Neurospora crassa OR74A: one gene and its partner. The protein of the gene in region 1 interacts with the protein of each later gene in a biochemical or structural test. Links are inferred from orthologs where the notes say so. Each region holds a gene or a part of one and is shown in the gene's direction. Other genes may lie near its edges.

Region 1 (5,918 bases):
GGGTCTGGGAAAGACTGTCCAAAGCGTCTCGTTCCTCAGCTGGTTACGGAATGAACGCGGCCAGGAAGGACCGTTCCTTGTCGTCGCTCCTCTTAGCGTCATCCCCGCTTGGTGCGATACATTTAATCATTGGGCTCCGGATCTCAATTACGTCGTTTACCTGGGCCCGGAGGCAGCTCGGTCCAACATTCGAGATTACGAACTTTTTGTGGATGGTAACCCAAAGAAGACCAAGTTCAATGTCTTAGTCACTTCCTATGACTACATCTTGGCCGATGCGGATCATCTCAAGAACATCAAATGGCAAGTTCTCGCTGTTGACGAGGCCCACCGTCTCAAGAACCGAGAGTCACAGCTCTACATCAAGCTCAACAACTTCGGCGTTCCTTGCAAGGTCCTCATTACCGGCACACCCATTCAGAACAATCTGGCCGAACTCTCAGCCCTCCTCGACTTCCTTAACCCCGGAAAGGTCGTCATTGATGAGGAGCTTGAAGCGTTGTCTACCGCAGATAACAAAGGTCCCACTGATGAAGAACAGGATGAGGCTAGGCGTATCAGGACCCAAGAGAAGCTCCGCGAGTTGCATCAGTCAATCGCTCCTTTCATTTTGCGTCGCACCAAGGAGACGGTCGAGTCGGACCTCCCCCCCAAAACCGAAAAGATCATCCGAGTTGAGTTGTCTGACGTGCAACTTGACTACTACAAGAACATTCTCACACGCAACTATGCTGCCCTCAGCGACGCGAGCAACGGCCACAAGCAATCGTTGCTCAACATCATGATGGAGCTGAAGAAAGTCAGTAACCACCCGTACATGTTCCAGGGTGCCGAGGAGCGTGTCCTCAACGGCAGCACACGCCGTGAAGACCAGATCAAGGGTCTCATTACAAGTAGCGGCAAGATGATGCTTCTTGATCAGCTGCTGGCAAAACTTAGGAAGGACGGACATCGTGTTCTGATCTTCAGTCAGATGGTCAAGATGCTAGACATTTTGGGTGACTATCTCCGTGTTCGCGGATATCAATTCCAGCGACTCGACGGTACCATTCCTGCCGGCCCAAGACGTATGGCGATCAATCATTTTAACGCCGAGGGCAGCGATGATTTCTGCTTCCTTTTGTCTACCCGCGCCGGTGGCCTTGGAATCAATCTTATGACGGCTGATACTGTCATCATCTATGACTCGGACTGGAATCCCCAGGCCGATCTTCAGGCAATGGCTCGAGCTCACCGTATCGGCCAGAAAAGACCTGTTAATGTCTACCGCCTCGTGGCCAAGCAGACTATTGAAGAGGAAGTTGTAAAGCGAGCCCGCAACAAGCTCTTCTTGGAGTATCTTACCATTCAGGCCGGTGTGACAGATGAAGGCAAGGCTCTCAAAGAGCAGTTCAAGGAGCGCGGCCTCAAGATGGACGAGGCTAAGACCGCTGAGGATATCTCGATGATCCTCAAGATGCGTTCCCAGAACCTGTTCGAACAATCTAGCAACCAGCAGAAGCTGGAGCAGCTCGATATCGATGCTATCCTCGAGAATGCCGAAGTTACCAAAACTGATGTCGATGACAAGATCAACCTGAGCAGTGGTGGTATCGACTGGGATAACTGGATGCAGGTCACCGATGTCAAAGTTGACGATCTCGCCCTTGACTGGGATCAGATCATTCCAGCCGAGCAGCTTGCTGCCATCAAGGCTGAGGAAAATAGAAAGAAGGAAGAGGAGTACTTGGCAAAAACGATAGAGGAGAATGCTCCTAGAAAAGCTGCGTTGAAAGGCTCCAAAAAGAGCGCAGAGAACGATCGAGCTGAGCGTCTGGCAAAGAAGCGACAACGCGAGAGGGAAGAGCAGGAAGAGCTCGAAGAGCAACGTGCATTGCTTTCTGATCCCAAACGCCCCCTCAATGAGAAAGAAACCCGAAACCTTATCAGGGCCTTCTTCAGGTACGGTTCCTTGGACGACCGCGAAGAAGAGGTTGTCCAGGATGCCCGCCTTAGTGATAGAGATCGGGACTTTCTGAAGTCTATTATCGAGGACCTTGTCGTTATCAGTCGCCGCGCTGTAGATGCGAACAACGAGAGACTTCGCGAAGAAGAAGCCAGGGCTGGCAAGCCACTGGCGAAGAAGGATAAGAAGGCTGTACTTGTCGATTTTGGCGAGGTGCGGAAAGTCAACGCAGAGACTGTCGTGGAGCGACCCCCTCAGCTCAAACTCCTGCGTCGCGTCCTCCGGGAGCACGCAGACATTCTCAGTTTCAGGCTTCCCGAAGCTTCCAAGGCTGCCGCATATACTTGCGACTGGGGTGCACGCGAGGATGCCATGCTGCTTATTGGAATCGACAGGTACGGATTTGGTGCGTGGACGCAAATCAGGGACGATCCTGAGTTGCAGATGCACGACAAGTTCTTCCTGGAGGAGCATCGTGTCGACAAACGGGAAGAACGAAAGAAGACGGAGGCTGTAGGGATTCAATCCCCTGGTGCTGTTCATTTGGTCCGAAGGTCCGAGTATCTCCTGTCTGTTCTGTTGGCCAAGCACTCTAATGATGCTGCCGCTAAGAAGGCAGTGGAGAACCACCATCGGAGCAAGAAGCTTCTCACGAACAACGGCCATCGACGCGGTGAAGCTAGCTCCATCTCCGGGTCTCCTGCACCATTGGGCGTTAAAAAGTCTATTCCTCACCGGGACCACCACCATCGGACTCTCAGCAACGCGAATGACCGGGGGACCCCCAGGCCTGACCACAAACGGAAGTACACCGATGATTACGAAGAGCGCAGCTCGAAGCATCGTCGGGTGGAAGACGAACGTCGTGGTACAGATAGCAAACTCGACAAGAAGAAGGACAAGGCACCCAAGGTCGATCCCGAAACATTGGAGAAATGGAAGCGGGACAGGCAGAAAGCGGTGGAGCGCTTCCATGAACTTGCCAAGTTGAATAATGATGAGATCGATAGCTCGGACAACTTCCAACTTGTTTGGTCTCTACTTCGGCCCCTCAAAGCGAACATGGAACGCATCATGTACTCTAAGGAACGTTTTCCTGCGGCCAAAGAACGCGCCAAAATTTTGGGAGAGGAGATTCGGGCATTTGGTAATTTCCTTAAGCAGCTGGAGGAGAAGAACCCGCTGGATGGTTTGGAGCCACAGTTCTGGTAAGTCTAGAAACTCCCTCAGATTGTGCTTTCACACTGGCTAACGATGGATACAGGGAATTCCTTTCTTCGATCTGGCCCATCGGTGAGGTCAAGGTGTCGGGCCGAAGACTCCAGCGCATGTTCGGCGACCTTTGCAAAAAGGATAGCGAGAACAAGGAGGACAGATCTCAGAATCTGAAGAAGCCGAGCCGCCAGGATCTCGAAGATGGCGAGATTGCCAGCGATCGCGACGATCGAAGATCTCGTGACCCTTACCGCGACGACCGGCGCGAGGACCGGCGCGAAGAGCGACGAGAGGAGCCCAAGCGGCGCCCGAACTATTACGAGAATGGCGATCGACTCAACTTTTATCGCCATCGTCGGGACATCGATAGGGGAGCACCGATCCGTCACTCATGGCAGAGCAGCCGCAGTCCCTCTCAGCAGCAACGGCCTTACTAGGGGAACCACCCTCTTCTCCCATCAATAATTGTTACTCAGCTCTTGCATTGTCTGGCGTACGGGTTTAGATATCTCGACTGGGGTTGTTGTTCTGATTTTCTGCTCCTCTATCCTCATCTGGGAGTTGACAAGTACACGGGCGGGCGTGGTGTTACATTGGAACGAGCGATACCTGTAATGAGGAATTATTTATGTTACAGAAAGGGCGCGCGCTTTTATGAAGGGTTCAGCATTATCCTATCGCCGATGATGGTTATTTTCGTTGTTGTGTATGGTTTTGCGGAAACCGCGTGCGCCGACGTAAAAGAAAGGCACGCAAGCGTTCTACTCGTCAGGCACTCATCAACATGCCTCAAACAGTCTTGCTTTTCTTACTTTTTTTTCTTTTCTTTTTTCAAGTGATCTCAGCAGCAATAAAACTGAGGGGAATGGATGGATGGTTGGTTCTGAGAGCGTACAAAAAAGGGAAATAACAAAACTATACCGAATTCCTCCTGCAAAAAATTGAGGATCACTTACTTGGGACAGGGGAAGATGGCGGAAAGAGAAGGGACCGTGCGTCGTTGTTGTGTTTTTCCCCCCACTTATCTTCAGTCGCCGAACACGCCCTAAACTTAGAAAGAAAGAGAGAAGAGACAATGAAATGATATCCATAATTGCATCGTCGATCTGTACCTTTCTCATCTGTTTGTTTGTGTTTTGGTGCGTTCAACTTCATCATAGTAGGTGATGATATAATATGAGAGTGTGTGTTGTTGTTCTTTACCTGTCTATCCTCACCTGCGTATCATTCGATGGAGGGTGCATGTTTTAGGGTCGGAGAAAGGGATAATGACAGACAGTTACTAGTGACAACAAATGAGTTGTTTGGCATTCTCGGTATCGATGGTGGCACGTATGAGGCCACGACATACACGGGCACAAGACGGGTTACCGGCGATGCGTTTGCGATCACGATTGTAGACAGAGCACGTTTAGGAGCAGATCCCACAGCATGTAAGCAACGTCCAGGCCATGTTCCATGTTCTTTTATGATTCGTGTCTGAAGAATCTTCACCCCGCTATGCGTTTGTTTGTTCAGTTGACTTCTCCATGACCATTTCACGTTCACCCATCCCAACTCACCCCTAACCTTGTAAACAACCAACTCAACGCACCATCACAGGAGCTGAGCGAATTCAGCTCTAAAACCAAGCGGAGGAAGGGGGGGGGGGGGGGGGGGGAGGTGGGGGGAAGAGAGAAAAAAAAAAAAGGGCTAAGCACACGAACTTGAACGATATAAAGGTATAATACATAAAGTAGAAAAAAAACATACAGCACCTGGGATTCGCTGGTCGTTACTGACCTAACTATTAATTAAGCGATTAGTAGCTTATCTATAGGAGAGCGGACGGGATCCTGAATTTTCTACCATCTATAGCCGTATATACTAATTATTACCCAACTAAGAGCTTATATAGTAAAATCCTTAATAGTAAGCCGGCAGGATCGTACTATCTAATAATTGTATAGTAGTAATAGTAACGAAGGTCGGCGGAAGGAAATAGTTCTTTTTTCTTTAGCGGTATAATTTGGGTATACCCTTTCTAAATATTCGCCCCCTAATAATACTATATTATTCAATTTATTCTATATTTACAATCTATAATAAATTAAAATTAATTTACTGGATTTTAATTAATAATAAATACGCCCTAAAGTAGTTGGATACTAACTTGTAGAAATATAATTAACGTACAATTATATTATAAACGAAACTACATTATAAAAAAAATTCTCCTTTATATATATTTCTACTATTATACAATATTAAAGATATACTTATAATAATATATTATAATTTTACTTGGTATTTTGCCTATCCTCTTAACGTATACCTCCTAGAAGAAAGGAAGAAAACAAAGAGAAACCGAACCCATCTATAATTAATTACCTAACTAAAATCAACTATCTACTATTTATAACCTTATCTATCGCTATTGTATATCGATAGGGAGAGACCGGATACTTAAAAATAAGGTGGGGGGAAGAGAGAAAAAAAAAAAAGGGTTAAGTACGCGAATTTAAACGATATAAAAATATAATATATAAAGTAGAAAAAAAATATACAACACTTAGGATTCGCTAATCGTCACCAACCTAACTACTAGTTAAGTAATTAGTAGCTTATTTATAGGAAAATGGATAGGATCCCGAATTTTCTACTATCTATAGCCGTATATATTAATTATTACCCAACTAAGAATTTATATAGTAAAATCCTTAATAGTAAGCCGATAGGATCGTACTATTTAATAATTATATAGTAGTAATAGTAATAA
Region 2 (5,743 bases), on another chromosome or scaffold:
CGCTAGATCTTCTGGATGCAGGCTGCCCAACGATAGCTGGATAAAATCAGCTTCGCTACGAGGTTCCTCGGACCAGTAAGACAAGGGGGTGCCGCAATAACCGCAAAAGTGGCGCATAGAATGCTGTTCAAAGGGCGAAGTGTAGGCGCGATGGATCATCGACGTCCTTTCGTCGGGAGAAAACGAGAGCGTCGAGCTATGGTACCATGGCAAAGGTACCCGCAGGAAAGCAGCCAATGGTGAGGCATGGGAGATATCTGCATTGGCAACATTTGGTCAGATGATCTATACTCCTAGCAAAATGGAGATAGTGATCGGAATTTCCTGAGAGTCAGTATCGCTGGACAGGTTCCTACATTGAGAAGGCGGTGGGTTGAAGATGACTTGCGCCGCCTGTGTAGTGGTTTGCGGAAACTGGATGATGTAACGATTGCGGCCGCATTGGCAGCCACCACGGAGGGGACGCTCGAAGCTCATCTTTGAAAAGGTGTAGAAACAACAAGGCAACAAGAGTGATTGATGGTGGAAAGATTGATTCAAGCTTCGTTGGGATCCTTGGGGGGCCAAGTAAGTGTGCAAGTCGGAAGTTCGGTATACTAATAGCTCCAGCTAAGGTTCAATTGAAGCAGGCAAACAAACGGCCCAGGCAACAAAGGAGAGCTTCGTTCTGTTTGAATAAAGAAACCGAGCGAAATATGACGATCAGGGCAGACGAGTGACGGAAGGAAGTCGAGGCGGGGCAGCTTGAGCGGGTGTGCGGGATGCCACCAGTTCAAGCATGTAATACGTCAATCGTGGGGTGGCGTATAAGTGCCCCTCGTGGTCTCCAGGTCAAGGCCGCAGGCAGGAACGTCTACGACGGGAATTGTCACCTTCGGTGAGCGAGTCTTCCGCCCTTGTGAAACAGCCAATGGGCACAACAAGAACGAACTAACTTGAGAGTTATGTTTGTGTTCAAGGGAAGAAAAAGAAAGAGATCAAGAAGTGGTACAAGGCAGAGAACATTACCACTTAAGGTGACTAAGTACCTCTAATACAATCCCATGTCATGAAACAGGCGCGGAAGATATCATATGCAACCACTTAAAGCTCCACGCGCTAGCCCCACATGCTTTTTGGGGGGTTGACGATATTGGGAATCGCGCCCATGTCCATGAACCGAAGCTATGTTGAGTTTGTTTAGTAGATTGAGAGTGGCAACCCAAGTGGCATATTTGGAACCAGTTGAAAGCTTCAAAATGCTCTGACCAAACAAGGAACGCTTGTCGCGAGGGGACACTTTTCCCACGTAACGAAGCGACTCGCTTGGAACGTCCTCTTTCCCTCCCGTGTTCAACGGGCCGAGCACTAGCGGAACGAATACAAGCAAGAAGGAGCGAGATACAAAGAATTCAAATGTGAAAAAACCACCCAACATAATTGTTGATCCGTAACTACAAGAGAATGGAAGGTGTTGTGTTACTGTAGATCGCGACAGATTGGAGGACAAGAGGACGCAGTTTCTTTTAGACATTCAAGATGATACAAACAGTGAATGACTCTCAGAGCGACAAGAAGGCCTGTGTGTCGTTGGCAAAGCTTCCTTGGAAGGTGACAACTGAATAAAGTGGTGGTGTTCTTGCAGGCTTGGGAGAGAAATCAGAAGCTCACAGTTGCCACGCGCTACAACCAAGCTGTTGCCCACTGCGTAGACCCTACACGTACAGTAGTACTGCGACTTGCCACCTGCCACCAGCATGGGTCGTCGCCTAGCCCAGCGGAATGCCACCTGCCAGCCGAATTAACCTTCAATTAACGAACTGGCCTAGTCGCGACACGGTCAACTTTCTCCGAGGCACGCGAACCTTCAGTTGGATTGTTCATCAGTATTTGCTTGCAACACTTTGCAATCACTGCCACAACATCAGACGCCATTTCCAACTTGTCCATCAACCCCAACTCACCATTAAACCAGTTGGATAGAGGGGCAATATGGCTGCCATGTAAGTCGCATACCTTTCTGGATTTCATGCTTTCGCGCGCTCTTGCTCGTCTAACCCTGCGACGACGGATGTGCCCCGCTCCATCTACGCCGTAGGGCACGGCTTTCACCGGCGGAGATCACAGCTCAGTGCCATTTCTAATACCTTCATTTACAGCGAGAGTTTTGACAATATCTACTTGGATCTGTCCAAGGAGAGCGGAAAGTCGAGATTCGCGGAAAATGGCTTGGGATGGAAACCTGCGGGTGGCGGCGAAGCGTTCACTCTCGACTCGAGCAACATCGGCGGTGCTCAATGGAGCAGGGCGGCGAGGGGCTATGAGGTTAAAATCCTATTGCGAAGCTCTGGCGTAGTTCAGCTCGATGGTTTCCACCAAGAAGTACGAAACCTATCCACGCGCCATCGAAGCGAAGGAACGCTGACGTGTTGCCACAGGATTACGAGCGCCTTAGCAAGATCTTCAAGAACTGGTACAGCGTGAACCTCGAGAACAAGGAACACTCTCTGAGAGGATGGAACTGGGGCAAGGCTGAGTTTAGCAAAGCCGAGCTCACTTTCAACGTCCAAAACCGACCGGCCTTTGAGATTCCTTACTCCGAGATTTCCAATACAAATCTTGCCGGAAGGAACGAAATCGCAGTCGAGTTCGCCGGCAACGATGGCGGCAAGTCGAACGGTCACAGCGGAACAGGCGGAAAGGGCAAGAAGGCGTCGGCCGGCAAGGATCAGCTGGTCGAGGTGCGCTTCTACATCCCTGGAACGACAACACGAAAGGAGGCCGAGGGTGGTGAGGCTGGTAGCGACGCCGATGAAGAAGAGAAGAACGCCGTGACTCTGTTCTACGACACCCTTATTGAGAAGGCCGAGATTGGTGAGACGGCGGGTGATACTATCGCTACATTCCTCGATGTGCTACATCTCACGCCCAGGTACGTGGAAACTGCACGCTGGTTGTTGATCCTTTTCCGGTGCTAACTCTCCCGATAGAGGACGTTTCGACATCGACATGTACGATGCCTCCTTCCGTCTCCGTGGCAAAACATACGACTACAAGATCCAATACGATGCTATCAAGAAATTTATGGTGCTTCCCAAGCCGGACGATCTCCATTTCTTGCTTTGCATTGGTCTCGACCCGCCCCTTCGTCAAGGTCAAACACGTTATCCATTTGTGGTGATGCAGTTCAAGGCGGACGAAGAGGTGACTCTTGACCTGAACATCACCGAGGAGGAACTCAACGGAAAATACAAGGACAAGCTTCAGAGCCACTACGAGCAACCACTTCATCAGGTTGTGGCGTACATTTTCAAGGGACTTGCGAACAAGAAAGTCACTACACCAGCCAAGGACTTTACAACGTGAGTTATATCTGTTCATTTCATAGCCAGCAACGGTACTGACCTAGGAACCCGCAGGCACCGTCAGCAGTACGGCATCAAGTGCTCTATCAAAGCCAGTGAAGGATTCCTCTACTGCTTGGAGAAGGCGTTTATGTTTGTCCCCAAGCCGGCCACGTACATCTCATACGAACAGACACAGTCCATCACGTTTTCACGCGTGGGCGGTGCGGTCTCGGCATTGTCGACGTTCGACATTACAGTCCACATGAAAAACGGCGCGGGCTCATCCCAATTCAGCAACATTAACCGTGAAGACTTGAAGGCTCTCGAGGAATTTTTCAAGCTCAAAGGACTGCGTGTCAAGAACGAAATTGATGATGACACCAACCTTATTGCCGCCGCCTTGGGCGATGACGACATGGCTAGCTCGGACGAAGAGGCCGTCGGCCCCAAGGCTGATCGTGGCTCCGCTGACGAGGATGAGGAGAGCGTGGATGAGGACTTCCAGGCTGAGTCCGAAAGCGACGTGGCGGAGGAATACGACAGCAACCATGAGAGTGATGGGTCGGGCAGCGAGGAGAGCGACGTCGACAATCGGGTCGATGATGAGGATGAGGATATGGATGATGACGAGGGAGAGAAGCGCCCCAAGAAGAAGAAGAAGACGGCTTAGGTTTATTTTTCATGTTGGCGCGTCGTTACTTGTTTGATTAAAAAGGCAGATCACAGGCTGGAAGGCAGGCAGGCAGCTGGGTATTTGGGGCGTTCCGGTACTTTCGTGACACGAATATGTGTTAATTCTGTATTTTCTCTACCATATATCGATACGATACTTGGGGCGTCAAAGACGACATTCCCAACGGCAGTGTCAAACTAGTATCTCGATGTTCCCTCAACTTGGGCGCGCAATGGAGCTAATGAACACTGAAGAGCGGCAGGCAGATGGTCAGCTACCTAGTTGATCCGTTATGGTTCTTTTTTTTCCCCTTCGACTACAACGAACATAAGACATCGGCACATCCTTTGAGACTTCGCTTCTTCTTCAGGGCCGCAGGATGGATAGAGGCCGTACTCCAAAAGTACGGCATGGAATGTATCAGCCTGCAGGGCGTGCAGGCGGTTGAGGTGGGTATCGCTCTAGCGGTCAAAAATCTACCTACCTGGTAGGTAGGTACCTACCTCTATGCGTTCCCGCTCTGTCTACACTACACTAGGATGCACATTCCTTCTAGTGTACATAGTGGTGCCCTGCGTGGCCCGGTGGGCACTTCGGTTGATGCGGAGCGGTCCCTGCTGAGTGCGCTTCGGCAGACTTCCATTCAGCTGGGCGGGCTTTAATTCGGCTCCAAAGTTAAGCCCCACCAAGGCGGTGGGTATGACCCATTTCCGCGTTCCTCCTCCTCCCTTTGTTTTCTGTCGACCAGTCCAGAAGCCATTGATTGGTGCCAATCATCAGCTCACGGCCTCTCCTTGGTGCTGTATCGGACAGCCACACCTGCACCGTGATAAATTTATTCTCACTCGTCCTGGTATTTTTTGAGACCTGATACCGCGCCCAAAGGAAGCATCTGCCTGTTTCGATCTTCACGTCCCGGAGCAGGGAAAAACAAAAGTACCCGATTAGCACCGCAAAGGAGATTTACAGTAATGGAAGCCAACTAAAAGGTTCCCGCCTTTGGAAACCATGTCTTTTTGGCGCTCCGCCTGCTATCTTTGAGAATGCCGACTCTTTCTTGACCATTGCTGCCCCGGGTTATTTTACAGCACTTTGACCAACAACTAAACCAGCAAACAGCAGCCAGACACAACCACCGCCGACGTACAAAACATACCACGAATCCTTTCAACCCGTTTTTCTCCCCCTCGAACTCTTCCTCCAAACAGCCATACCATGGACGCCCAGGTAAGGCTGCTTTTCCCCCAGCGTGAAAAAAATATCATCCCCGCAAACTCGCACCCGCCGACCCCGCCATATATCCGTCTGAATGGAGGGATCACAATGTACCTCTTCGGCACACGTCATTTCTCTCTGTCTTCTCGCGCTGACGGTCGTTTCTGCTACAGTTTGAAAAGGCGATTGAGATCGCCTTTGATCCTCGTTCCAGTCATGCCCTGAAGTCCCAGGCGCTCGAGTTCCTCAACCAAGTCAGGACCGACGTCCAAGCATGGCGTATCTGCGCCGCGCTCTTCACGCGAAGCCCCAGAGCATCCGACATCGTCCGCCATGTCTCCCTTGAAATGGTCAATAACGCCGTCCACTCTCAAGGGCTGGACGCCCCCGATCTCGCCTTTGTGAAAAATTCTCTACTCGACTATATCACACGCACATATGGTCCTAACGCTCAGGACCAAGCCGACCCTGCGAACGTTCAGAACAAGCTCACACAAACCCTCACGTATCTCTTTGTCGCTCTTTACGG

Evidence for each region.
Region 2: the proteins of crf6-1 (region 1) and NCU00133 form a complex in vitro, tested with the Saccharomyces cerevisiae proteins (2 studies listed by BioGRID). The link is inferred for Neurospora crassa OR74A from reciprocal best matches to the Saccharomyces cerevisiae genes CHD1 and POB3.

What each region holds. Positions count from the first base shown.
Region 1 is NC_026501.1:4,375,946-4,381,863, reverse strand, and holds the end of crf6-1 (chromodomain helicase, variant), read left to right. Parts: coding exon 1-3,153; intron 3,154-3,209; coding exon 3,210-3,597; 3' UTR 3,598-4,265; downstream 4,266-5,918. UniProt on the Saccharomyces cerevisiae protein: ATP-dependent chromatin-remodeling factor which functions as substrate recognition component of the transcription regulatory histone acetylation (HAT) complexes SAGA and SLIK. It recognizes H3K4me.
Region 2 is NC_026503.1:2,735,850-2,741,592, forward strand, and holds NCU00133 (FACT complex subunit pob-3), read left to right. Parts: upstream 1-1,724; 5' UTR 1,725-1,971; coding exon 1,972-1,982; intron 1,983-2,138; coding exon 2,139-2,361; intron 2,362-2,417; coding exon 2,418-2,911; intron 2,912-2,969; coding exon 2,970-3,341; intron 3,342-3,398; coding exon 3,399-3,996; 3' UTR 3,997-4,260; downstream 4,261-5,743. Other genes in the region: NCU00132 (hypothetical protein), read right to left, coding at 1-257, 357-477; NCU00134 (exportin-T), read left to right, coding at 5,215-5,226, 5,388-5,743. UniProt on the Saccharomyces cerevisiae protein: Component of the FACT complex, a general chromatin factor that acts to reorganize nucleosomes. The FACT complex is involved in multiple processes that require DNA as a template such as mRNA elongation, DNA replication and DNA repair.